Linked DNA regions of Macaca mulatta. The protein of the gene in region 4 interacts with the protein of the main gene of each other region in a biochemical or structural test. Links are inferred from orthologs where the notes say so. Each region holds a gene or a part of one and is shown on either strand. Other genes may lie near its edges. The genes, in order: MECOM, TFE3, TGFBR1, SMAD3, CEBPB, ZFYVE9 and ERBIN.

Evidence for each region.
Region 1: the proteins of SMAD3 (region 4) and MECOM form a complex in vitro, tested with the Homo sapiens proteins (2 studies listed by BioGRID). The link is inferred for Macaca mulatta from reciprocal best matches to the Homo sapiens genes SMAD3 and MECOM.
Region 2: the proteins of SMAD3 (region 4) and TFE3 form a complex in vitro, tested with the Homo sapiens proteins (2 studies listed by BioGRID). The link is inferred for Macaca mulatta from reciprocal best matches to the Homo sapiens genes SMAD3 and TFE3.
Region 3: the proteins of SMAD3 (region 4) and TGFBR1 form a complex in vitro, tested with the Homo sapiens proteins (2 studies listed by BioGRID, with this or other methods). The link is inferred for Macaca mulatta from reciprocal best matches to the Homo sapiens genes SMAD3 and TGFBR1.
Region 5: the proteins of SMAD3 (region 4) and CEBPB form a complex in vitro, tested with the Homo sapiens proteins (2 studies listed by BioGRID and IntAct). The link is inferred for Macaca mulatta from reciprocal best matches to the Homo sapiens genes SMAD3 and CEBPB.
Region 6: the proteins of SMAD3 (region 4) and ZFYVE9 form a complex in vitro, tested with the Homo sapiens proteins (2 studies listed by BioGRID and IntAct, with this or other methods). The link is inferred for Macaca mulatta from reciprocal best matches to the Homo sapiens genes SMAD3 and ZFYVE9.
Region 7: the proteins of SMAD3 (region 4) and ERBIN form a complex in vitro, tested with the Homo sapiens proteins (2 studies listed by BioGRID). The link is inferred for Macaca mulatta from reciprocal best matches to the Homo sapiens genes SMAD3 and ERBIN.

The regions. Positions count from the first base shown.
Region 1 is NC_133407.1:80,795,392-80,798,891, reverse strand, and holds part of MECOM (histone-lysine N-methyltransferase MECOM), read left to right. Parts: intron 1-557; coding exon 558-702; intron 703-3,403; coding exon 3,404-3,500.
Region 2 is NC_133426.1:49,118,436-49,122,418, reverse strand, and holds the start of TFE3 (transcription factor E3), read left to right. Parts: upstream 1-1,183; 5' UTR 1,184-1,478; coding exon 1,479-1,594; intron 1,595-3,983. UniProt on the Homo sapiens protein: Transcription factor that acts as a master regulator of lysosomal biogenesis and immune response.
Region 3 is NC_133420.1:59,272,219-59,275,718, reverse strand, and holds part of TGFBR1 (TGF-beta receptor type-1), read left to right. Parts: intron 1-739; coding exon 740-982; intron 983-3,500. UniProt on the Homo sapiens protein: Transmembrane serine/threonine kinase forming with the TGF-beta type II serine/threonine kinase receptor, TGFBR2, the non-promiscuous receptor for the TGF-beta cytokines TGFB1, TGFB2 and TGFB3.
Region 4 is NC_133412.1:44,704,587-44,708,086, forward strand, and holds part of SMAD3 (mothers against decapentaplegic homolog 3), read left to right. Parts: intron 1-1,931; coding exon 1,932-2,144; intron 2,145-3,500. UniProt on the Homo sapiens protein: Receptor-regulated SMAD (R-SMAD) that is an intracellular signal transducer and transcriptional modulator activated by TGF-beta (transforming growth factor) and activin type 1 receptor kinases.
Region 5 is NC_133415.1:103,041,722-103,045,437, forward strand, and holds CEBPB (CCAAT/enhancer-binding protein beta), read left to right. Parts: upstream 1-1,375; 5' UTR 1,376-1,576; coding exon 1,577-2,611; 3' UTR 2,612-3,216; downstream 3,217-3,716. UniProt on the Homo sapiens protein: Important transcription factor regulating the expression of genes involved in immune and inflammatory responses. Also plays a significant role in adipogenesis, as well as in the gluconeogenic pathway, liver regeneration, and hematopoiesis.
Region 6 is NC_133406.1:188,440,105-188,444,401, reverse strand, and holds the start of ZFYVE9 (zinc finger FYVE domain-containing protein 9), read left to right. Parts: upstream 1-1,497; 5' UTR 1,498-1,600; intron 1,601-4,297. UniProt on the Homo sapiens protein: Early endosomal protein that functions to recruit SMAD2/SMAD3 to intracellular membranes and to the TGF-beta receptor.
Region 7 is NC_133411.1:74,026,755-74,031,043, forward strand, and holds the start of ERBIN (erbin), read left to right. Parts: upstream 1-1,489; 5' UTR 1,490-2,505; intron 2,506-4,289. UniProt on the Homo sapiens protein: Acts as an adapter for the receptor ERBB2, in epithelia. By binding the unphosphorylated 'Tyr-1248' of receptor ERBB2, it may contribute to stabilize this unphosphorylated state.

The DNA.
Region 1 (3,500 bases), on a different chromosome or scaffold from region 4:
TATTAGATTTTAGGTACAGAAGTATAATCCAATATGCAGAACTGACCACACTGTCTAACTGTGTGTACCCTTAGATCAGACAACTATAATTTTCTTATCAAAGTTATTTTAGGAAAAATAGTTAAACGTGTAACACGTCAACGTTAATACTTGTTGACCTCTTTTAGGTGAGAGGATGTTAGATTATAACCTCTTTTAGGTGAGGGGATGTTTTAACCTCTTGTTTTTGTCATATAGACTATTGTGATGAACTATTATACTATAGATACTTTGTAGACAAGATAAACAACAGGAAGCTAATGTTGGTGTAAAGCTCAACCACATACAAAGTGTTTATAGTTGATTAAGTTTATGTAAGCCTTACATCAATCCTGTGATACAGGTATTGTGAGTCTCGCGTTTCATGGCCAAGGAAGCTGAAGACCTCCTAAAGTTATTAATATTCATAGGGCATGTTTGAAGAAATAACACTGATCAAATTCATAAGGAGTGAGTTTCCAAATAAGTAGCTAGATAAACAATAATCTTTGTTATAAAAGGCTTTCTGCTCCACGCAGGTACAGCAACATCGTCGCCTCATTCTGAACTGGAAAGTACAGGTGCGATTCTGGATGACAAAGAAGATGCTTACTTCACAGAAATTCGAAATTTCATTGGGAACAGCAACCACAGCAGTCAGTCTCCCAGGAATGTGGAGGAGAGGTAAAGCTGTTTTTTACTCTTTAAACTCTGTGACGACTGAAATGAATATGTTTTAAAATATACTTTGTATGCTCACTTTTGTGGCACAACTATTACTTCAGTCACCAAAGACTGGTATATATTTAGTACATATTAAATACCACATGTGCTTCCAAGCATTTTACATGTATTAATTAATTTAATTTCATGATAACCCTGTGAGACAGCCACTGTAATTTTAGCAGTGAAGGAACGGAGACATTGAAGCTTAAACTGTTGTGTCAGAGGTCACATAAGTAGTCAATGGGATTCAACCTTAGCTGTCTGGTTCCAGAGCCCATAATTTTACCAGGATTTACCTAATTGATAGCTGAATAGAATCTGTTATCAAAATTTCAGAAGTAGAAGAAAAGGCCATCACAGGGATTCAGTTGAATCACTGATCAATACTGATTACTATTATACATTATAAATTTATATATATTACAGGTAATATATGATTCTCTCTATATATGTATTATACCTATATACGTATATGTATATTCTGTATATATGTAATATACATATTATAGTACATATGTATGTATGCATTTATATATGAAATACCCATGGAGTTTCCCCCAAATATATTTTACATAGAAACTTTTTTAGTCTTCTTAAGATTCTATTGCTACTTTATGTCCTCTTAAGTGACTACTCATTTAATTCTGGTCTGTTTATTTCAGTGGGTATGACCATCCTTGTTTTTACCGACCTGATGCACTGGCTCCTTTTGTCATCATCAACATTAAGCATGAATAGCTTAATTCATTTTAAAAAGCTTTTAATGCTGTTAATGATAATACTTAACAGTTACCCAGCACTTCACATTGCATATGAAGTTAATGAAACACAATTTCACCAAAACTACTGGATTTAATTTTTCTTATCTATAAGCTATATTAAATATCTGTTGTTGAGAAGTAGACTTTTCTGGACATAACTATATAGTGACCTATTAAATTAGGATGCTGCATTGTAAATTTTAAAAAAAACATGACATTAGTTGAAAGTTCCATTATTTTTCGTCATGCAAGTATTTTTGGGTTAGTGTCCTCTATTTTTGATGTTATTAAAAGTCAAACTTAATTATTTTATGTAATTTCTTCAAGGCAAGCATCAAATAAACATTTTTTACTAAAATAACCAAAAAAAGACCACTTCTGTTCTTCAACCTGTGTAAAAGTGTGTCTAAGAAAAACAAGAAAAAAGACCCTTCCAGTCTCTCAGAAATCTGATAACCACACCAGTGTGCAGTTGGATGTATCTTTCCCTTTACTCGCCCATTTGTGTGTGTGTTTCTGTCTGTCTGTCTGTCTGTAAAAGGGAGAGGGGAAGTAGGTGATCAGAAGGACAAAGTAGCAAGAACAAGCAAGAAACAGTAACAATCTTACACTTTGATAATGATATTTACTTGATGCAAGTAAGAACCGTTGAGCAAAACACACCATTTGGGTTCTGAGATGCCTATTCAAATTTTCTAGCCTTTAATTGGCGATTTGTGAACCTGTATAGCTGCAACATCTGGCTTCAACATGTCTAAACAGCACAGAAGTAAGAAGGTTGAGTCATCTAAGTTTTTCCCCTGAACTCCTGTCAGGCTACTTTTGATGAATAATTCATTCCCTGCAAATTGCCACATTTGAAAACTTAATTAACAAATAGATTTTCTTAATTATGTTGGCTTTTGTTACTTTTGATTTTCACCCATGTACTCTTTTGTTCTTTTATTTTTTTCTTTCATTTTTTTTTAAATAAAAATTTTAATCCACTCATGCAAGCAAGTTGGCAGTGTATTTGGAAACTAATTTATGTCTGTGTATAAATTTTCACCATTCTTTGATAAAAGAGGTTAAGAGATTATTTATATTAAAAACTTAATAATGATATGACTTTTTCTGGTCAAATGGATTCTTACTATCTGTTTTTGTCACATCCAAGATTGTTTTATTTATTTTTTAATGCTGAGAAATCTGAATATTAAATTATACTCATTTTTGTTATGTGGGAAAGTGATGGGGGTGAATTGTTGATACCTGAGCTTTTTCCACCCTGGTGTTTCCCTGAGAAACAAGGAACTATTTCACATTCAGACTGTAAAAAATAATTTGAAAATAGTACAAATAAGTGAGCTCTCAATTACTTCCAAATTTGGATAGAGTGGCTAAGTGGAATACAATATAAATGTCATCTAGTTGTTTCTTGGCAGCTACTTTAAGATTGTCTTTGGACTTTTAGATTCACTTTAGGCATATGTATTGAAGCTACTGCCCATGAGTGATATGAGTTTTCCAGGAATCTATTATTTTAAATGGCGGGTACTTATATGGTAATTAGGTAAATTGTGCTGAGAATGTATTTGTGTGCCTTTTTATATGATATATATAGAAATGTCAATTATCAAGCAAAGTCTGATAAGAAATAGGAGACCAAGATTGTTTCTTGGGTTCTGCCAGAGGCTTCATTTATAATCTGAACAATCATACAATTATTTTTTTCTTTATCTTCCCATTTGTGAGGTCACATTATTTTTTCATGGTTGACATAGAGCATAAACAATAAAAAATTTCCTGTGTAAGTGTTGGAAATCTAAACTGTTGTTGGGAAGACATAATAAAGAAACAAATTACGATTTTAAAAGTGAAACCAACAATTGGACTTTTTTTTTTAATGCTTTTGAAAGAATGAATGGCAGTCATTTTAAAGATGAAAAGGCTTTGGTGACCAGTCAAAATTCAGACTTACTGGATGATGAAGAAGTTGAAGATGAGGTGTTGTTA
Region 2 (3,983 bases), on a different chromosome or scaffold from region 4:
CCTCTGGAAGGAGACTGTATTTACCAAGTCTCCCTATCAGGAATTCACTGACCACCTTGTCAAGACCCACACCAGAGTCTCCGTGCAGCGGACCCAGGCTCCAGCTGTGGCTACAACATAGGGTTTTTATACAAGAAAAATAAAGTGAATTAAGCCTGGAAAAAAAAAAAAAAGAAAGAAAGAGGAAGGGAAGGCTGTGGGTCTGGGTGTTTTGTGAGCTATGTGCACCTGAGGATATGGGTGAGACCCTCCGCCGTGTGCAAGCCGGATTGCATGCGTCTGGCATACAGAAGCGCTCAGTGAATGTTGAATAAGTGAACAAATGAGTGAATCAACTAATTTTGGGAAACTTCTTGTATGCCAAACAACCTGCTAGCACCTTTCATACCGTAGAACAACCCTGCCAGAAAGGTATTTTGACTCCCATTTAACAGGCCAGGAAAGCTGAGGCTGGGAGAGGGAAGGTCCCCTTCCCTGTTCAAACCTGGATCTTTGTGATTCCAGAAGTCGTCATTCACCGAAGGGACCAGATTCATCCACCCGTCAAGAATTTATTAAGCACATGTTGCGCAGCGCAACGAACATAGTACAACAACCGCTCTCGATGGCATGGAACAGGCAGAGTACTCCCGGAAGACCAGCTGGGCGGTTGGACTGAGGATACCGAAAGGGCCGGGTTTCTGGTCCGCATCTCCAGGGAATGTAGCTGCCTCTGCCTCATAGTTATGGCTTTGGCTGAGAGAGCACAGCTAGATCGAGGTTGGAGCGCGGTCTAGGGCTCAGATATTACAAATATTGGCCGAGAGAGGGCGCAGTTCCGCAACTAAAAGTTGGCCAGGAGCCCCTCCGTGCGCCGACTGGCCATCGATGCGCAGGCGCAGAGGACCCAAGGAGCGGCTTAATAATATTATCTTGCAGAGGGATAATTTGAGAAGAGGGGGCGTGGCTCCGAAACCGACGCAAACATAGAGGCGTGGCTCAACCAAATCACCCCTCGCCTATTTGTCGCTGCCCCTGAGGGCGTGGTCTGGGTGCCTCTTCTCGGAAGGAGGGCGGGCCGAATCGCGTTTTTCCTTCGCGTCGGAGGCGTCGCTTAGGGCGGGCCCTCAAATCGCCGTTCCGCGATTGGCCGCCTGGCTAATGGGTCGTGGCCAGACGGGCAGTCCATCCCCAGTGCGGTCACTTCCTGTGGAGTTTCCCCATCCCTGGGAGGAGGGAGGAGGGAGGAGGGGGAAGAAGACGAGGGGAGGAGGGCGGTCGTCCGGGGTTAGGTTGGGGGGGGCGTCGGTCCCTTCTGGGCGGGGGATGACTCACGGCCCATCCCATCTCCCCGACGCCGCCCGCCCGCGCAGTGCTAGCTCCATGGCTTAGCGGAGGAGGAGGCGGTGGCGAGCTGGGGGGAGGGGGACTCTTATTTTGTTAGGGGGACCGGGCCGAGGCCCGACCGGCCTGGCAGGGCTCGCCCGGGGCCGGGCGTCATGTCTCATGCGGCCGAGCCACCTCGGGATGGCGTAGAGGCCAGCGCGGAGGGCCCTCGAGCCGTGTTCGTGCTGTTGGAGGAGCGCAGGCCGGCCGACTCGGCTCAGCTGCTCAGGTGCGGTGCCGCCTGGGGCCGGGAGTGCCGACTGGGGCTCCCAGGGGCCTGATCTGGGGGGCAGCGGGGGCCCCGGACTGGGATTGGAGGCCCTCGGCCTAGCCTTGGAGGACGTCGGGGCGCCCGTCTTGGGGGGGCACCTAAGGAATCCGGCAGTGGCCTGCTTGGATCGTGGCTTTATTAAAGGAGTCGTGGGAGTGCATTAAACGGGGTCTGGGTCAGGTTTGGGGAGCCCTTGACTGTGTCTAGAGGGGCCTATTCTGGAGTATCCAGAAACTGGTCTGAGATAGCTGAACTTGGCAGACTGGGACTCTGATTAGAGGCTGAATTCGGGGGTTTTCAGTTGGACATGAGGGGAATGAATTTGAGGGGACACTGTCAGGTGAGGCACTGGTTTTAAGGGAATCCTGGAATCTTTTTCCCTCAGTGTGGGAGAAGGGGTCCTGAGGGACACAAGTGCTGTCCTGGGAGCTTGGTGCCTCTCAGTGACTGGTTGCTGTGTTTGGGGATAACATGAATCTGGAGGGATTTGGAGGTATCTCAGATATGCTGCCTGGGACCAGCCTTGTGAGTGCGTGTGAATGAACAAGAGAAGCAACAACATTCAGCAAGACTTGGCCTGAATAATCCTTTCCCCCCTGCCCGCCCACCCAGCTGGGGCAGATCCCAAGGATAGTGGAAAAGCCCTCTTCCCACACCTGTTAAGGGCCTGAATGGGAGACAGACAGCCAGACAGAGGGCGATGATGTTTGTTACCTCTTAGCTCAGAGAAGGCCTCAGACCTTGTTTGGGAACCCAGAGGAGGCTCTTGTTCATGCTGCTACTCGTTCTAGCCTCTCAGCCCTTCCCACTACCTAGCCCCACACCCCTTTTCTTTTTATCTTCTTTTCGATCTCTGAGCTTCTGGGGGTAATCTGTCCATAGAGCTGGAACGAGTACAGATTGCACCATCCCTGCCTGGGTGGATCCCCTCTGGCCTCTTCTCATCCTTACTTTTATCAATGGGCTTTGGAGCCCCAGCCCTCCCTGATCACCCCAGTGCCCATCTCTTCCAACTTCTGTGCAATGGGTGTGTGAGCCTTGGTGGTGACGGGGCTCTTTGCCTCCTTTGTGCCTGGGATTGTGCTGAGCTCAGTGGCTCCCCCGAGCTTCCTCTTCCCCACTTCCTGGGTGGTTTTAGGGCTCCATCTGAGGGTGAGGAGAGGAAGGAAGACAGATCCTTGGGGAGGGGAGAGGATTCTTGTCAAGTGAAGTCACCAGCAATCTCTCAGCATTCTAAATGTTTGGCTAAATTGAAGGATGCATATTCATCCACGTGTGTGTTAACTGTCCCTTGCTCTCTGGGGCTGAGCAGAGCCTTTCTGTATATTGATTCACCATCTTCTAATTCCTCTGTAACAACCTAGATCATCGCAGTAGTGGACATAGTTAAAGGGAGGGGTGTATATGGCTTCTTATTTTGTATGCCAGTGGGTATTGGTGTTGGAGGTGTGTGTGTGTTTTGATCTATCCAAAAAAACAGAAGGCTGGGCAAGCTCCTCCGGCTAAGAAAAGAATGCTTGTATAAAGTGGATCAACCACCCAAATTCTCCCTCTTGTAAATCCAGTCTGTTGGAGTGAGGGGAGCCTTTGATATTTCTATTTTATATTTGGGCATGTGTTGGCATCCCATGAACTCTAACTGGGGCTGGGAGAAACTCATTTGTGAAATGGGTTTTCACAAATTTCACTTGACTTTATGTCAAGTGAATTATTCCCGGTTCTCTTTGTGATGCATTCAGTCTGTGTTACAAGGGACTGTTATGCTGAGGGGTGCCCCTACTTGCTCTGTGTGTGTGTGTGTGTGTACATACACATATACCTGGGCTCAAATTCAGCTGTAAAGAAAATATTAGGGGGTTGGCCGGGCGCAGTGGCTCACGCCTGTAATCCCAGCACTTTGGGAGGCCGAGGCAGGCGGATCATGAGGTCAGGAGATCGAGACCATCCTGGCCAACATGGTGGAACCCTGTCTCTACTAAAAATACAAAAATTAGCTGGAGGTGGTGATGTGTGCCTGTAATCCCAGCTACTCGGGAGGCTGAGGCACGAGAATCACTTGAACCCAAGGGGCAGAGGTTGCAGTGAGCCGAGATCACACCACTGTATTCCAGCCTGGCGACAGAGCAAGACTTTGTCTAAAAAAAAAAAAAAAAAAAAAGTAGGTGGGTATGGGGGCTGGGAGAACTCTGATAGGAAGTCAGGAATCCTTCTATAAAGTGAATTGTTATTCCTAAATTCTGTTTTCCTCAAACCTAGGTTGTTACAGTGTGGGGGCTGGGATGCAGGCGTTCTTATTATTCTGACTCTTAAGGGACTATGAGTAACACAGTGGGGAGGGGAAAGGAGG
Region 3 (3,500 bases), on a different chromosome or scaffold from region 4:
AGTTCGAGACTAGCCTTGAGCAACATGGTGAAACCTGTCTCTACTAAGATACAAAAATTAACCAGGTATGGTGGCACATGCCTGTAATCCCAGCTACCTGAGAGGCTCAGGCAGGAGAACTGCTTGAACCCGGGAGGCGGAGGTTGCAGTGAGCCAACATCATACCACTATACTCCAACCTGGGCAACAAGAGTGAAACTCTGTCTCAAAAAAAAAAAAAAAAAAATTGGTGGAGATATAAATACTAAAATGTGAGTTGTTTGGGAGTGATGAAGATGTATGTGTGTGTTTGTTTGTTTGTTTTGATATTTTTGTTTGTTTTTCCTGCTATGAGCATGTACTGGCCTTGGAACAAGAAGACAAGTCAAACACACTTTTAAAAATATATATGATTTTTAAGGAGACGTTAATGGGTATTGTTACAAGTTATTGGTATTACTGACCTGATGTGATAAGTGGGGAAGGTACTATGATATTGGTAGCAGCTGGCCTTGTAATGATGGCTGAAGAGTACAGAAGGAGTAAGTGGGTGCTGACAGAGCTGGTGTGCATGAAAGGAGGCCTAGTAGGAGAAGACTGAATGATTCACTTGTTCTGGGTTTGAGCCCTATAAACTGCTGTAATGAGGCTCTTTGGCTATGTGGTGGCAGTGGCCAGCTGCAGCAATTGTGTAGGATTAGGAAAATGGGGGTTGCCACCTACAGTGTTTTTGTTGTTGTTGATGTTTATTTCACTCAAGGCCCTTTTTCAGTAAAGTCATCACCTGGCCTTGGTCCCGTGGAACTGGCAGCTGTCATTGCTGGACCAGTGTGCTTTGTCTGCATCTCACTCATGTTGATGGTGTATATCTGCCACAACCGCACTGTCATTCACCATCGAGTGCCAAATGAAGAGGACCCTTCATTAGATCGTCCTTTTATTTCAGAGGGTACTACGTTGAAAGACTTAATTTATGATATGACAACATCAGGTTCTGGCTCAGGTAATGTAATTGTTTCTCCTTTTTCCTAAGACGTCTTTTTAAAATTAAGTGATACTTATTTTATTAGTTTGCTAATAAGCCAACTTGTTAGAATGTGAGATAATATAAATAATATTCCAGGTTTGAAACTAATAAAAATCTTTAAGCTTGATGTGTATATGACTGTGGCTGGTTTAAAATAGATTGGAACTTACTTTAACTGATAAAGCAAGTCAGTCAGCTCCGGTGGTATAAATTTCAAAGCGTTCTCACTTGTATGATCTAATTTGCTTTTCATCACTGTGAGGTAGAAAGGATAAGAACAATTATTCTCATATGGATGAAACCGAAGTTCAAAGATGTTCAAATGATCTGCAACTAACCCGTTCTATTCAGGATTGTTTAGCAGCCTGATGTTTATATTTGAAAACAGGCATGATAAAAATTTATTCAGAATTGTGAAGGTTATTTGCTTTTTAAACATTATATGAAATTGTCTTTTGTATAGGCCTGGTTTTTTAAAATTAAACTAATGAACTCTTACGTCATTTTCTCACTTCAGAAAAATGTCTAATCACCTTCTTATTTAATGTAGTTTTGGCCCCTAATGAGATTTGCTTTTCCCAGTTCTATTTGTTGATATTTGTGGCATCAGAAGTAGATGAGCTAATTGTCAGAGTCATCCCAAGGTGGATTTTGGCATAGCAGTGCTTCATGTTTAAACTGAAGGGGCGTTATCTTCTACTTTTTTTTGTATATGGTTTGGAAAAGTATTAAGAGAGGAACACTCCTATCCCCTGTGTTTTTAGAATTTGACACTTGGCTAAGGATAAATAGATCTAGGTTCCAAGGCAAGTTTTGTTGCTGATTGGCTGTATAACCTTGGTTAAAACATGTTTCCTCTTTGGGCTTCTGTTTCCTCATCAAAAATATGGAACCCATACTGCTGATAAAAACACTTCAAGTGGTTTGTTAAGACTTTTAAATGAGATATACTATCCTTTGAAAAGTATGAGTCGTCTTTAAATAAGGGCTAAATTCATGAATAAAGTGAAAATTTGGAAAGCGTATATAGTGAAAATTTCACTAATTTTGGTGAAACCCCATCTCTACTAAGAATACAAAAAAATTAGCCGGGCATAGTGGCATGCGCCTGTAGTCCCAGCTACTCGGGAGGCTGAGGCAGGAGACTCGCCTGAACCTGGGAGGTGGAGGTTGCAATTAGCTGAGATCGTGCCACTGCACTCCAGCCTGGGCAATAGAGTGAGACTCCATCTCAAAAAAAAAATTCACTAATTTTATAACTGAGTGATATTAAAGGAATATTAAAGCAGAAATTGAGCATAAAATCACATCTAATGTTGCAGAAAGCTCATATAATGACAAATGTCTATTTATTTTAAGGAAATGAATATATATTGTTATGTATGCATATCTATTCATTTAAGAAACTGATTTTATTACCTGAATTATTCTTCTGTAGAATTTGGCCGTATGTATTCAATAAGAGAACTCTCTCTTTGACTACTAGGACACATACAGGCTTGCACTGGAGCTCAGATCAGAAGGCAAGCTTAGGGATTCCTGAAACAGTTGTGTAAGGAAGACAATGAGAGTTCGGACTTAGATGGAGCCATCTTAGTACTGAAGGTGTGATAGTCTTTGGGCAGGAGTGGTGGACGGAGGTTATTTTAGAGCTTTCCTGGGACTTCCCATTTATTCTCAGTTCAGATCTTCAAAAAGATTTTGTTCATTCTAGAAGTAATCCTGCTCAAGACTGTGATAATCAAGGACCAGAGTCACAGAAAATCAGGATGGCTTCAGATCATTTGGAATTAATGCCTCAGACCTGTTGTCTTGTTTCTAAACTTACACTCCGGAAAGAGAGCAGCTCATGCCACTTGCCACAGTGGAATAAGCCCACCTAATTGATTAAAGGAATTGGTGGGTGGGTGATAGTTGATTACTGAATAAGAATATCTTCATTAACCTTTTAAGAGATAAACATGAAAAAGAACAGAATAATTCTGTTTCCATTATATATATATATATATATATTTCTAGATCCATGAGGGACCATAGCTCTCTGTTCTCTGAAAGCTTCTCTCCCTCTTTTTATGACTTACCCTGCAAAAACTTGTCTGCATTGCTTGCTAGCTCTGTAGCTTTGGGCAGTTAACCAATGTCTCATGCTTGAGTTATTTCATCTTTAAAATGAAAGTGATGGAGTCTGCTTTGTGCACATCATTGGGTTGTTGTGAGTTCAAGCAAGACAAAATGTTGGCATGAAAGCGCTTGGTAAATTGTGAAGTTATGTCCAAATGACAAGTGTTGCTCTTATTGAAAACATACTTGGAAGAAAAATCTAACATACATTATCAGTTGACTACATTGTACAAAACTTAGTTTAAGGCCTCCTTTACCTGTCATAGTTCATTGTGTACTGAATTCTCTACAAACCTATCTAGGCAGAAGCCATCTTCTGGTGAATAATAGCAGAAAATGCCATCTGTTTCCCTTCTATTCATTATAAATCCTT
Region 4 (3,500 bases):
GCCCTCTAGAATACATCTGGCAATATCCACAGCCTTCTTTTATTGCCACAATTTGAGAGGGTGGTATGGATGTATACTGCTAGCACCTAGTGGGCAGGGGTCAGAATGCTGGTAAACATCCTACAATCTACACACGCTCCCTCCCACCCACCTACCCAACAAAGAATTATCTGGCCCCAAATGTCAGTAGTGCTGAAGTTGAAAAACCTGACCTAGGGTGTCCTAACCCTCCAGCTGACTTCCTGGGCGTGTGTGGAGTGCAGGGGTGTTACTGGCCTGCCCCTTCTCTGTTCGTGGTAGCATTCTCCTTGCTTTTAGAAGGGATCATGTGCCTAGACCCCATAAGGGGATCAGGGACTCTTTGTCCTGCAGGCAACCAGACCCCTTCCTGTGGGCAGAACAGCTTCTGACTTTTCTCTCTTGGGCTTTACACACTTTCAGAAGGTCTAATGAGCGGGGGTGCCCCCGGTGGTTTCCCCCTCCTAGACGTTGCCTGGTATCCATTGAGCAGGGTTCTCAGGCCAGGGCGACGGCACGGGGAGCCTCTCCTGTTCCCCCCTCAACAGAGCCCTGCGCTGAGGGTTAAAGTGAGGGAAGAGAGATGTCAGCCTGGGCCCTGGGACCTCATGGTCGAGTTGGACAGTCAGGATGCTCACATAGAGGCACACCCTTAGTCACTGCGTGGCTCCAGGTATATTTAAGAGCCAGAGGGACTTCAGAGCCAGGCTGAAGCTTTGAGATGGAAGAGTGAGAATGAGCAGGGGACTCCCTGATTCTTCAGCAGATGGATGGGATTCAGGTAGGCATCAAGCAGAGCGTGGCAGGCCAAGGGCTCGTGCCCAGCAGTCAGTGCAGCACAGAGAAGCAGCTGCAAGTGGTTGGCCCAGGGCGCAGGGCAGTCCTGGTCCAGAGGCTGTGGCATCGGTGTGAGTGGGAATTCCGAGGGCCCGGCCAAGGGCTGAGAGTATGGACCTGGAGATGCTGCAGAGGCGTGCAGTAGGAGGGCACAGCGCCAGGGCCGCTGGGCTGGGGCAAGAGGAGGGCAAGGAGGCCCCAGGAAATGGAAGGCTGGGATCCATTTCCAGTGTAAGGAGAAGCTGCCATTTACTCTTCTGAGAAAGAGAACCAGCCCCTCGCAGGATGGCAGTTTTGCTTTGAGGAGCCCCATATGGAGACTACACAGACAACTGGGACAAATCCAGATTTTCTTTCAGATGGGTTTGTGTCCCAGCCACCCCAGCAGCCGGCATGTAGATAAGTGTGGAAAATGGTTTCTGTGATAAGAGGCAAGGCTCCAGGCTCAGTCTGCGGACGATCCTGGTGTGTCCACTGCGCTGACACGGGGCCCTATTGGGAGCCCACTCGGCTGCTGCAGGCTTGGAAGCTGCTGCTCCACAGGCTGGGAGTTTGCCCCCAGGGCTGTGCAGAGCCAAAACCTGAAAGCCCTTTTAGGGGCAGGGATTAATGGTGGTTACTGTAGGAACCTTGCAAGAGAGGCTGAGAGGTGACTGTGCGGGAGGTGTGGACTGCCCCACAGTGGACACACTGCAGTGGCTGTCCCAGGTTCATCCAGGTACTGGGTGGCCCCTGGTCCTCTTCAGGTTTGGCCCAGCCCCTGCTTGAAGACTCCTTCCATCCAGTCAAGGCCAAGCAGGCGGGGCAGGGCCTCTATGAGCTTAAAAAAAAAAAAAAGAAATCAATGGCCCTTTACACACACAGTGTGGCAAGGCTGACGGAATCTCCTCCGGACACCTGAGCATCTTGTTCTGGTGGGTGCTGCCAGTTTTATACGATAAAAGGCACCAGGTGGGGAGACTATTAATCCCTCTGAAATGTGGGGAAATGGTTCTCCAGAGCGTCCATGGGACCCCATCGAGGCAGCATGGGGCTTGGGGCACCCACTGACCCAGTAGCCCGCCCTGTGTCCACAGACCTGCAGCCAGTTACCTACTGCGAGCCGGCCTTCTGGTGCTCCATCTCCTACTACGAGCTGAACCAGCGTGTCGGGGAGACGTTCCACGCCTCGCAGCCATCCATGACTGTGGACGGCTTCACCGACCCCTCCAATTCGGAGCGCTTCTGCCTCGGGCTGCTCTCCAACGTCAACAGGAATGCAGCAGTGGAGCTGACGCGGAGACACATCGGTATGGGGTGGCTCCATTCCCCGCCCCCACCCTGCCCCTGCCACTCTATCGCGCCCCCAGCCCCAGGCCCGAACACACAGCCTCTGCAGGGAACCTTGCCTCCATCCTTAGCTGTGCTCTGCCTCCTGCTGGGCATGGGGGAAGACTCACCGCCCCAGCAAGGCCCCCACATTCCCTGTTGCCCTGTTTAGGGGCCAGACAGGTAGTGTTCAGGCCACTTAATCATTCCCACTCAAAGATATAATCTCAGAAAACCTGGAAGCCACAGAGGAAAATACTTAAGGGATCGAGAAGGGAATGTCTATGAGAAAGGCAACATATGAAATCTTTTTTTTTTTTTTGAGACAGAGTTTCACTCTATCCAGGCTGGAGTGCAATGGCACAATCTCAGCTCACTGCAACCTCTGCCTCCCGGGTTCAAGCGATTCTCCTGCCTCAGCCTCTCAAGTAGCTGGGATTGCAGGCACCCAACCACCACGCCCGGCTAATTTTTATATTTTTAGTAGAGATGGGGTTTCTCCATGTTGGTCAGGCTGGTCTCCAACTCTTGACCTCAGGTGATCCACCCGCCTCGGCCTCCCAAAGTGCTGGGATTAGAGGCGTGAGCCACCAAGCCCGGCTGAAATCCTGTTAATAAAAAGAGTTTGAAAGTGCAGATGGATAGGTTGATAAGTAGGCAGTCGTCGTTGGAAGAGTGATCTTTTCTTATTTTTATGTATCATTATTCTAGACAATTTAGAAAAGGTAGAAAAGAATTGTCCACTATCCAAACACCACTACTGTGAACCTTCTGCCTTCGAGCCCGCAGAACATAAGTAAAAGATGACTCTGTGAGTTTAAGGAAGATGAAGCTGTGTTACGTATCGCTTGGTTTGCTTATGAAGTTATCATGCTTAGAGGATTTTACCATCCAGAACACAACTGTGAGAACTTAGAAGGGCTGTGGAGAGATGGCAGAGTGACGTTTTCTCAGACCTCGTCCTGGAGCCCCAAGGGTTGGCGAAGGGTTCCTGGGGCAAATTCAGGAGCTGGGCAGGTTAGCAAAGGGAAGCCTGGCCCCACGTGAACCAGGGCACCTCTGCATTCGCTTGCTTTATATCTCGGGCTCTCACAGAAGCCTTCGTTTGAAGAGAGGATTGATTCTGTAGTGAAGAGAAGAAAAGTTTGGAGGCCACAGGCCTAGGTCTGTGCTGTCATTTTCTAGGAGAGGGGCCTGATGTCTAGGGGTGGGGAAGGGTAGGGAATGGCTCTCAGAGACCTCATTGTCAGTGACAGACAGCCCCCACTACCAGACCCGTTCTCCCCATTTTGCTTTTTGTCTTTTACTTCAAAAAAGATACTTATTCTGGGTGGCAT
Region 5 (3,716 bases), on a different chromosome or scaffold from region 4:
AGGGCAAAGCAAAGGGCCCTCTAACCTGAGCCTAGGGAGCAGAGGCGGGCCGGTAGTTAGAGGGCCTTGGGTCTGTGTTCAAGTCCAGGCAGGCCGTTGTCACTTTCCCATCTGTGAAACGGCAGCAGCAAAAGCATCTTCCTGGTGGGGTGAAAAAGAACCTCGGGGTCCAGGCCCACCCTGAGCACAGGGCAGGGACTTGGTAAAAACTTCTCTTTCTCTTTCCTTCTCTGTTTCCTGCATGCCACCCCCCTCCCGTGAGGCCTGGCTTAAGCCCCTCCCCAGCAGCTTCAGAAACAGAAGCTTTTTGGCCTCTGGGGCTGGCAATAGGTCTTAGGGCCCAGATGAGGGCATTTCGTTTGGGATGAATGGGGGACATGCGGCCATGTGACCTTGGTATGCCATGCCATGCTCCCTCTGGGCCTCCACTGGCACAATCCATGGGGGTCCCTTTCTCTCTGATGTGCAGCCCACAACGTAAGCCTTAGGTTTGGGAGTCTGGTGGGAGCAATGCCACCACCGCTGACAGTAGCGACACCCTTCATGGACTGCAGCTGGGAGAAGTGACTCATCCAAGGTCGCACAGTGTGGCAGGGCCCAGGTCGGATGGCGCGGCGCGGGGCAAGAGAAGACCCGGGTGTGTACAAGCCGCAAGCAGGCGGCAGGTGCGGTGGGCGGGGCTAGGGGCGGGACACCGTGGACCAGGGTCCAGCCCCCAGCGCAGCGCGATCCTGCTCCGTCCCCCCGACCCCCGGGGTCCTCATATTGGCGGTGGCTTAAGAGGGGAATCGTCACAGGCGTGGAGTCTACTCCTTTCTAGAGCCGGGGACCTGTGGAAGAGGTGGGAGTTTAGGGGGAAGGGCTACGGAGATGGGTCGCTTCTCCTGGAGCTAGAGTTGCGGGCTGGGGTCTCCAGGGTTCCGCCCGGGGAGCGGCCCCTGGTCCGCCGTCGGGGCTCTGCTCGGTCCTCCTGAAACCTCCGCCTCCTCCAGCAGGGGGCGGGCCGGGGCCGCATCTCCGGGGGAAGGCGATCAGGTCGCCCCCTCCTCCGATTCCCCCGCCTTCCAGGACAGCCTCCAGCCCAGAGGGGCGGTCTGGGGGCGGGGTCGCACCGCCCCCTCTCGCTCCCAATCCCGGGGCGGCCGGGCGGGGGTGGGCAGGGGGCGTGAGGCCGCCCCCTGCGGCCCGGGGACCCCCCCCGAAAACGCGCTCCGGGTGCCCGGTCCCTCCGCTGCGCCCTGCCGCCGTCCTCCTGGGGGTCTCGGGCGGCCGCGGCCGTGTCCTTCGCGTCCCGGCGGCGCGGCGGGAGGGGCCGGTGTGACGCAGCGGTTGCTACGGGCCGCCCTTATAAATAACCGGGCTCAGGAGAAACTTTAGCGAGTCAGAGCCGCGCACGGGACTGGGAAGGGGACCCACCCGAGGGTTCAGCCACCAGCCCCCGCACTAATAGCGGCCACCCCGGCAGCGGCGGCAGCAGCAGCGACGCAGCGGCGACAGCTCAGAGCAGGGAGGCCGCGCCACCTGCGGGCCGGCCGGAGCGGGCAGCCCCAGGCCCCCTCCCCGGGCACCCGCGTTCATGCAACGCCTGGTGGCCTGGGACCCAGCATGTCTCCCCCTGCCGCCGCCGCCTGCCTTTAAATCCATGGAAGTGGCCAACTTCTACTACGAGGCGGACTGCTTGGCTGCTGCGTACGGCGGCAAGGCGGCCCCCGCGGCGCCCCCCGCGGCCAGACCCGGGCCGCGCCCCCCAGCCGGCGAGCTGGGCAGCATCGGCGACCACGAGCGCGCCATCGACTTCAGCCCGTACCTGGAGCCGCTGGGCGCGCCGCAGGCCCCGGCGCCCGCCACGGCCACGGACACCTTCGAGGCGGCTCCGCCCGCGCCCGCCCCCGCGCCCGCCTCCTCCGGGCAGCACCACGACTTCCTCTCCGACCTCTTCTCCGACGACTACGGGGGCAAGAACTGCAAGAAGCCGGCCGAGTACGGCTACGTGAGCCTGGGGCGCCTGGGGGCCGCCAAGGGCGCGCTGCACCCCGGCTGCTTCGCGCCCCTGCACCCGCCACCCCCGCCGCCGCCGCCGCCCGCCGAGCTCAAGGCGGAGCCGGGCTTCGAGCCCGCGGACTGCAAGCGGAAGGAGGAGGCCGGGGCGCCGGGCGGCGGCGCAGGCATGGCGGCGGGCTTCCCGTACGCGCTGCGCGCTTACCTCGGCTACCAGGCGGTGCCGAGCGGCAGCAGCGGGAGCCTCTCCACGTCCTCGTCGTCCAGCCCGCCCGGCACGCCGAGCCCCGCCGACGCCAAGGCGCCCCCGGCCGCCTGCTACGCGGGGGCCGCGCCGCCGCCCTCGCAGGTCAAGAGCAAGGCCAAGAAGACAGTGGACAAGCACAGCGACGAGTACAAGATCCGGCGCGAGCGCAACAACATCGCCGTGCGCAAGAGCCGCGACAAGGCCAAGATGCGCAACCTGGAGACGCAGCACAAGGTCCTGGAGCTCACGGCCGAGAACGAGCGGCTGCAGAAGAAGGTGGAGCAGCTGTCGCGCGAGCTCAGCACCCTGCGGAACTTGTTCAAGCAGCTGCCCGAGCCCCTGCTCGCCTCCTCCGGCCACTGCTAGCGCGGCCCCCGCGCGCGTCCCCCTGCCGGCCGGGGCCGAGACTCCGGGAAGCGCCCGCGCCCGCGCCCCCGCCTCCGCCCCCGGCGGCGCCGGCAAAACTTTGGCACTGGGGCACTTGGCAGCGCGGGGAGCCCGTCGGTAATTTTAATATTTTATTATATATATATATCTATATTTTTGTCCAAACCAACCGCACATGCAGATGGGGCGCCCGCCCGTGGTGTTATTTAAAGAAGAAACGTCTATGTGTACAGATGAATGATAAACTCTCTGCCTCTCCCTCTGCCCCTCTCCAGGCGCCGGCGGGCGGGCCGGTTTCGAAGTTGATGCAATCGGTTTAAACATGGCTGAACGCGTGTGTACACGGGACTGACGCAACCCACGTGTAACTGTCAGCCGGGCCCTGAGTAATCGCTTAAAGATGTTCCTACGGGCTTGTTGCTGTTGATGTTTTGTTTTGTTTTGTTTTTTGGTCTTTTTTTTTGTATTATAAAAAATAATCTATTTCTATGAGAAAAGAGGCGTCTGTATATTTTGGGAATCTTCCGTTTCAAGCATTAAGTAAGAACACTTTTAATAAACTTTTTTTTGAGAATGGTTACAAAGCCTTTTGGGGGCAGTAATTGGCTTTTGTTTTTTTTTGCTTTATTTTGGATTTGTAGGATTTTGTTTTTGCGTTTCTGGTGTGTAGTGGGTTGTGTGTGGGGGGCTGCTGTTATTTTTGGAGGTTTTGGTGGTTGGTGGGGGTGTTGCAGCTGGTTTTTCTGCCTCCTCTGCTACACCCTCCCCCCACCCACAGGGTCTGCTTGGAGATGGGGTTCCAGCCCTGGGGGAAAGGGGAGAAGAGTAATGGGTCAGGCTTTCAGGCTAACTCAGAGCTCCTGGGCGCCGGGACCGGTGGCTGGGAACCCTGCTTGAGAAGAGATTCCGGGACCTCTGACTGGTCCCGAGTGTCAGGCTTGGGTTTGGAAGGGCTGGGAGGTCTGTGACCCCTGCCCTGTGTTTGGGGACTAGATAGGCAGGCCTGTGACTGTAGGAGGAGGGGTTCAGGTCTTGGTCCTGCTGAGCCCGAGTCAGGGCAGATGCTTTTAGTAAGTGTAGTTGG
Region 6 (4,297 bases), on a different chromosome or scaffold from region 4:
CAAGCCTTGTTTTATTCACGTCCTCAATGGATTGGATCATGTCTGGTCACATTGGGGAGGGCAATCTGTTTTATTCAGTACACTGATTCAAATGCTAATCTCATCCAGAAACACCCTCACAGACATACCCAGAAATAGTATTTAATTTGAGTACCCCATGTCTCAGTCAAGTTGATATATAAAATTATCTGTTGTATTATTGGACTTGCCTCACAATATTGAAAAACTGTATATATGATTTGACCTTGAATCTATAGAGTTAATTTTGTTTAAGAAAATCTTTAATTAGCTAGATATTAGAGGGGTGGTTACTTTACTTTCTTTCTCATTTTGACCTTGGTTTGTATTTTTATACTTTCATACTTCTGATATGACTTAGTCCTTTATTTAATAGATATAAATCTGTTTCTTAGTGTCAGTAGCTCTTCTCATTTAGAGTATATCATAGCATGCATATTTTTCTAGTTCTCAAGACAGGGAAATCTTTTACCAGTGATTTTCATTCTTTATTCTTTATTGGGTCTTGGAAACTTGAATTTTAGGTCTTTTTCTTATTCTCTTATTTTTTATTAAGCACATCATTTTCACGTCTGATAATAGAATATTTGTAATGTCAGGAAATTTTTCTTGCTGCCTCAGTTTATCTTTAACACAGTTTATCTGTGTTCATTAAATTATCTCCAATATACTTACCTGTTCTGAAAATACTATGATTATGTGTTAGATATTTTATACTGATAATATAATATTCATAGTCTTAGTTTTATTCTGATTAGCTTCAACTACTAATCTTGTTCAAGGCTAAATTAGGCCCTTAAAGAATTTTACATTGTCTCTAAGCAGTTATAGTTGGGCTACCATAACTTAATGGATATTGTCATATTTTCACAAGAGGGTAGTAATATTTGAAGAGCCTTTGTCTTTTGCATACACCCCTGATAGGGAAGGTTAATATTGGGTTAATAGATCCATTGCTTCTAAGCAGTTGGAGGAGGACTGGAATGAAGAGACTCCATTTGGAGAAAAAAATAGTTTGGCAGTAAAAATCACAACAAGAAACTTGTGAAACTCAACTTAAGAATTCTGTATGTATTGAAAAAAAATCGCGCTAGAAGGACATTCTTGTGAAGCAGCAGTTTTCTTAGCTTTGGATTCTTGGAGGGCCCATTATAAGGCAAATTATATACTTATGAATTAACACAATTGAAGTCATTGGGTAGAAAGTGCCTGCTGTTGATGTTTCACTTTGCATTATCCATTGAAAATAAACGTGCAAAAACTCTTCTTTGTTGAAACATTTAACTTTTGGCCTTTTCAGACAATAAAATGTCTCTGTTGCTGCCTTGCATGCAAGCCAGGTCTTTGAATCCAAAGGTATAATTGTATTTACTGTTCAAGCCCCATTGCTTTTGTTTGTCTGGCTATGATAGATTTATATGAAGAAAATTAGGGTTTATTGTTTCATCAAGTGTAATGAGCAATGTGTTTTTCATTTAGGATCAAACAGAGCATACTGAATCAGCAGGACTGGCTGGTGGTGCAGCAAGCATGAGTAAGCACCGAGAAGTCTGTTCCTTATCACGTGTGTAAGGGGAAAAAGGTAAGAAAATGTTTTTATTTCTCTTAGAGATTGAACTTGAGAAACCAATGAGATCTATAGAAGATAATACTGATGCATATATGTTATTTGCTTCATTTGTAACATTGTATCTTATTAAATCAGGAGTATGATTTTCTTCAAAAAGATTTGACTTAAATTCAGAGGAAAAGGGTATTTAAAAATCACTGTTATTTTATGTCACAGTGGTCACAATGTTAATTTCCCTACCAGTGCTGGCTCCTTCGTTTTAGAGTTAGTTGAGTATAGAAAGGTAATTTCAGAAAAAAATATGACTTTGAGCAATATTTTAGCTCATGCAAGAGCTAAACAAGTAAAGCTGATTTGGGGATGGGGAATCAGAAATGTAAAGTTAATTACATTATTTTATTTTGTATTTTTAGATAAGTTATTATGTAGAGCAATAATTTCCAGCAGAAAATTGGAAGTATTCTTGTAGAGCAGGAACCCTTGACTTTTTCCTAACTAGGAGTCATGTTGTTTTTTTTCAAGTCTTAAGATTATTTAAGGGTGTGAACCCCCAGTATCTGTGTTGGAAACAAGTGCTTGGTGTAGCCAAAAGAAACCTGCACTTAAGACAGAAATTTTCTCAGCAAGGCACTTTTACTTCTGCAGAAGGGTGCTGTTCACTCCTGTTACAAATGCAGGAGCACACCGAACAAAGGAAGGAAGGAAGGGGCTTTTAACCCTAACACAGTTCCTGTTTCTGTGTCTTTCCCCTATTGACTGGAGTTGGACTGCATAATCTAAGCTGATCCTCACTGGCTAAGGCTTAAACTTTTCCAAATAAGGTAAATGTGTGATTTGTGAAGGGGCAGGGTGGGTAAAGAAGAAATGGTTAGGCTTAACAGAAGAGGGGGTAGGATTGTTTACAACTTATGACCAGGAAGTTGAGTCTTTGAAGAGGAACTCAGTTGTACCAACAATCTCCCCTCTTCTGTCTTATAGTTCTTCATCTTCAAGTTTCTTTAACAGGATCTGGCTATGTTGTTCTTCTTGATTATCTAGGTGCAAGAGCTTATCTGAGTACAGAGGGGGAGAGGTTGGGGAGGTTTTTGTGAGAGCTGCTTCTGTGAGCCTTTGGGTTAACCCACAAATACAGGGTATGATACAGCAACCCACAAGGATGAGTACACCTCTAACAATTGCAAGGAAGGTAAAGATTGAGGTCATGAGTCCTTTCCATTTTCCAGACCACCTTTCCATTAGTCCTGTAAAGGGGTCGTCTATTCCAGAGTTTTCGGCTAGTTCATTTGCTAGGATGGTAAGGCCTTGTAAGGCTTTTATGATTGTCCCGTCGGGGGCTGTATTATTAGGAATAAAATAAAACACTGGACCCTGATCATGACATAGACTTCACCTTTTTTGGCCAACACCATGTCAAGGGTTATTCTATTTTCCCAGGCCATCTGGCTGGTGGGGTCTAATTTCAGCAATTCCTTTTATGGCATCTCTGGTATAATTGATGAATTGCTGCTGATTGTAGTATATGTAATGTATCCAGTCTACATTTTTGTTTATAGTGGACTACCAGAATAATATAGACTCGAACCTGGTGGGTATTTGGTTTTGAGCTTTGAATTCATTTGGTACCCTCTGCAGGACCCCGATGCTGTCTATGTAAACTTGGGGGTCAAAGGACCCATTTATTGGGGCTTCTTTTTTTCTTCTGGTTACCTGCTTCCTGATGAAATGCCAAGGTGAAAGGGATGGCCAATTGGATCAGAGCACAAGTGCCACTCCAGTTGCTTGGCAGTGTTCCAAATATTGGTCCCCCTCTATACCACTATACATCCACTTGGGGATGGACTGGGGCTGACTGATTGGTTAGCTCTTGAAAAGGTTTAGGTCCACTGCATCCCATCAGGTTTCCAAGGAATGTCAAATTTTCCCCTTGTTGTAAGAGACACAAGGTAAAATTGGCATTGAGAGCAGGAAGTCGAATGTCCCTTGGGGGCTGTCCCATAGGGCTCCTGACTTTTGGGAAAAGTAGTGAAAGAGTGGCACATGACTTGTTTCCCCAGGCTGTGAGGTGCTGGAAGAGAGCTACCATACAGTCTTTGCCTGATGGGTTGGCCCATCTGAGTGGGAGGGGAACAATTTGGGTTTCTGGCCTGCCTGTTGCACAAGCGTAACAATCGGTTTTATTTAGGGTGTGAATGGAATATTTAATCCATTCCAGCTAGGCATTTACATCTTGATAACCGGTTTCTATGGCTAGGGTTTGCTGTAAATCCTTTACTTCTACTATAGCTACTTTGGTTTTGTCATTAGACATGAAGCGAGAAATGGTTTGATTTTTGTGGTTTTGGGAAGTGAGTAATGGAGGGAGATGGAGGAGGAGGAGCAAACCTCATTTCAAAGATGCCTGTAGGGTCTTTTGCAGTGACATCCGCTCCTAGGCCATAAAGGCGCTCTAAAGTGGGGATACGGTCGGTGGAGGTGGGGATAGGAATAGAGAGAAGTACTGGGTTGCACTGGTGGTTTTGGCAATTTGAGGGGGTGGTTCCTTTGGTGAAGTGGAGGTAGGGTTTTAGGGTGGTGCAACCCTCTAAGGAGGTCCAGCCCTGATATTTGGTGGTCAAGATAACATCTCCTCAACTATAACATAACCCCTTAAAGGCTTGTGGTCGTCGATTGCAAGGGTCCGGGGTGATACTGGTTTTTCTGCGGGTGGAG
Region 7 (4,289 bases), on a different chromosome or scaffold from region 4:
TTTTCACATAAAATAGATATCCAGCTTGGTAACACTGGCATAGCTACTGTCATTTCCTAGCTTCCAGCGAATACTCTTACCTCTAATTCAGCACTGAATATATCTGAACACTTCAGTACTACCTGTAAATCTTCAACTTCTGCTCTATGCTAAATAACCTAATACCTGTATTAATTCCAGCAGTTCTTCAAGTAGTTAAAAATGCTCCCAATCTGAATAAAATAACTTGAATATCTTCGGCGTTATTTCAAGTGTTTGTATCTAACGTCAACTCATTTTGATAAATAATTACTTGGTGGAATTTACGAACTCTTTCCATTGGCAAGCCAAAAAAAAAAAAAAAAAAAAGTCTGTAGGGGATATAGCTCTTTATTCAAACTTGGTAATAAATAATTATCTCTGGAATACAGACGGAAGAACTGAACCAGAGACTTCAGGGACCCACAGGCTAATTATCATCACTGTACACAGTTAAGTACAGCAGAGAATGGGGGTGGCGAATGGTTTGCTCCGCAATACGCTCCTTCTCTGGGTAAAACAAGGCCGTCTTTTCTGTGAACATATTTAAAGCAAGAACTGCAAAAACTGTACAATGTTATGGTTGAGGCTTTCTATTTGCCATATGTGTTGACAGAATGCTTAAGAGTCTCTCTCCGCAATAAACGCAAACCCTGCCAGGCTGAATTATTAGGGCCAGTGCAATTCAACGACTGCACCACCACCCAACCGCTGGGGTTGGAAGCCTGCGTCGCATCGGAGCGTACCCATGTTTCCTCTAACAAAGGCACGATCTTGAGGCCATTTCGCGGGCCCTTTTTCCCCTCTCAGCGCCAGCTTTGTCTCCCCGCCGGTGTCAGGCTGGGACTTGGAGGAGGCTGAGCTGCGCCGTTGGGGAACAAGCTCGAAGGGCGGGCGTGGGAAGCTGCGCCGCGCTGCCGCTGTGGTTTCCTGCGACCTGAGCGTGCCATTAGAGGAAGGTGGAGTGCTGCAGCTGCAAGATACCTGCTGCCTTCAAATCAGGGCTGGACTCCAACAACCCCTGTGCACCGATTACTGTCGTACAAAGAAACTCCATCGGCCGGGGCGGCGGAGGCCTGTGGGCTATCTCCCTGGCTGGGCGCGGGGCCGCTAGCAGACAGCAGGGTCGGCGTCGCCAGCGTTCCCCACCTTGGGGGGCTCAGAAGTGGGGGAGTGCGGGGTCGGGGAGCGGGCGGGAGACAGGCCTCGGGTAGCCTGGGCCGGAGCGGGCCTCACGGCTCGCCTTTCACGGGAACCCACGGCCGCCGGCTGCCCCTCCCACAGCCCCCGGCCCACCGCCCCCCGCCGCCGACGTCGGCCCGCACCGCCCCCGCGCGCTGACTGGCCCGCGCCGGCCTCCTGCCCGGCTGTTGGCGGTTGGGGCGAAGCCGGCGGGAGACCGCCCCGCCCCCGCCCCCGCCGCGGAGCCGCGGCGCGCAGCCTCTTCACCCGTCGCGGCCGGGGCGGTGGCGCTGTTGCCGCCGCGGCTTGTGAGGCAGTAACTCCCCTCCGCCCCTGCCCCATTCCTCCTCCTTTCTCTCCGCTCCCTCCATCCTCCCTCCCCTCGCGGTCTCTCGCCCGAGTGAATGTGGCGCGGCGGCGCGGGACGCAGCCTCGGCCCCTGCCGCGGCCCCGCAAGCTCGTGAGAAGACAGAGCTGCCGCCTGCTCCCGCCCCCTGCGCGTCTCGGGGAGCCACCGCCGCTGGGGAAGGAGAACGAGCAGGGCAGCGGAGGGACGGCGGCGGGAAAACGGGAGAGGGAGAAGAGGGTTCGAGGGCGAGTAGGGAAAGCGGGGAGGGACGGACGGAAGGACGGACGGCCCGACGGACGGCCCGGGCAGGGGGCCGCCATTGAGCCTGCCCGACTCCTCGGCTCCGGCTCCGGGTGGCGGCGGCAGCGGCGTCGCGGACGAAGGGCGCGGCAAGCTCTATCGAGACAATAACCCTGCCGCCCGGCTCTGGGGGCGGCAGAGAGGAAGCGGTGGCGGCCTAGCGCAGCCGAGGCTCGCCGAGCGCCCGGGCAGTGTCCTCGCCCCCGCCGGCCGGGTGCCGTTGCCGTCCGGTGTGCGGGGCGCGCCGGTTGCCCGGAGCCCGAGGCTCCCGGCGGCTGTCCCTTCCCCTCCCCCTCCCCGGTGCGCGTTGAGCTGGTTTTCCGGGTTCCCCTGGACGGAGCTGGATTCTGCTTCTCGCCAAGGCAGGAAGTGAGTTTCGCACTGCAATTCCGGGCAGTGTCACGAGTGAAAAGTTTTTTTTTTTTTCGGCGGAGATCCTAGTTGGGGCTGGGAAACTCCTGCAAAACTAGAGACCAGGAAGCCAGCCCGCACCCCAACCCCCACCAAAGCCACCTACTCTTCTGCGGGAGGCCAGTCCACATCCGCTCTCACCCGAGAGAGAAATTCAGCTGGATCCAAAGTGACTAATGAAGGCAAGGAAATCATGTCAAGCGAAGCCTTGAAAAAGCTGCCCTGAGACGCTGTCGCGCCGAAAGGTAATTTTCACGAAAAGTGTCTCTGAGTCACAAAGTTCATGGGACTTTGTGACTTGGAAAAGAGATGATCTTTTAGTGTTTTTCACTTTTCTCCAAGTTACCCTAAATCTTCCTCTCTTCATATCGAAGCGGATAATAATTGAGAGGCTAAATAATCGAACTGCAACCCCCCTGTCTCCCCTCTCCCCCCTCCCCGCCCCACCATCTGGACTTTGGATTTTTTGGAAGAGGTTGTAAGAATGCGGTGGGACAAAAAGTTTTCAGCAATCCGAAGAAGGAGTGCCTTTGTTCCCAGGGGCCAGAAGTTTTGGCTTTCTGGAACGTATAGAGTGTATATTAAGTTGCTCAGCCTGGTACCTTCTGTTTGAGAAGAAAGTTTGGTCGCTGCAGCGAGTGATTTGCTGTTATTGAGATGGCTGCCGCGTTTGTTTATACTCCTACCGATTATATTGGCGCTTGCGTTAATCGTATATAGAGGTTTTTATTGTTTTATTTCCAACTATGATCAGTATATTTAGTTAGATTTTAGAAACCAAAAAATCTTGCCATTCTTAGTTGTTTTTCAGGGTAATATATTTCTTTAGTTGTGTGTAATTGTTTTTTTTCAGACGTTTAGCGCTGTATAACTTGTTTAATTGAAAGCAAGTATCGACTAGACTTTTCTTGTAACTGATCCATTACGAAGAAAAAAGGAGTAAGGACTAATAATAAAGAGAGAGACATAATTAAACAATAATAACAACAACCTGTAAGACGTTTGATAGGACTTCTGTGCAGTTCAGAACAGACTATATGGGAAGGGAAGTAAAACGCTTGAAACGATTTTCAAGGGAATCACAGTGATTGTGATAAAAAGCTATGCTTTTTGAGTAGTATGGTATTTACATTTTTGTGTTGGCCCAAATGTTTTTGGTCGGTTCTGCATAAATAGTGGTAGGTTCTGCCTACATCTGTGGGGACAGGATTCATGAAGCATGGCAGACATTCCACCAGTCAGAGCTATGAACACTTCTGAACCAATGGGGACTAGTTTTGATAGCAGCAAACCCAAAGCTTTTTTCAGTGGTGTTTTAGTCTTTTTCTGTTTAGCTTTTTGGTGCAGGGAGGTGAAATACAATACTGTAGTTCTGAATATATATTGAATAAATTTGGTAACCTGTTGGTAGGTATATCCTGAATATATATTGATGTTTAGATCGCCTGTACTGTCTCACGTAATGACCGGAAACCCGAAGAGAGAGTTGATTTTCTTTAGTTCAAAGAGAAAAAATAGGTTTTAAAGATCAGGATCAAATTATTTCACAATTTGTTCTTTGCTACTTCAGCTTCATTAAGTACATCTCCAAAGGCAGTCTTTTATTTATTACAGTAGTTTTGATTTTTTTTTTTCCTCCCCAGGGCATGGTCTCAGGAGATTTTTTTTTTCATTGTTGTTAAGATTTATGAACCATCGAGTAATTCCTGTTAAGTCAAACTAGCTTTATCAAAGAATTTAAAGTGCATAACTCGTATACTTTATGATTTTGGAACGTATCATTAGGCTGCAAAAGAGTTTATTCTTGGGCATCTGAAAGAACTGAACAAAATAAATGGCATTGAACTTCAGTTTCCTAATATGGCTTATACTTGGCTTTAAAAGCAACAAAACCTTAATAGAGCAAGTCCTTTATAGAGAATTATCGCTTTATGAAGATGGTTATTTATTAGTAAATTTTGTATAAAAACAGTATTGTAGCACTTGAAAATGACTTTAAACCTCTAATTTTAGATTTAGTCCTTGATTT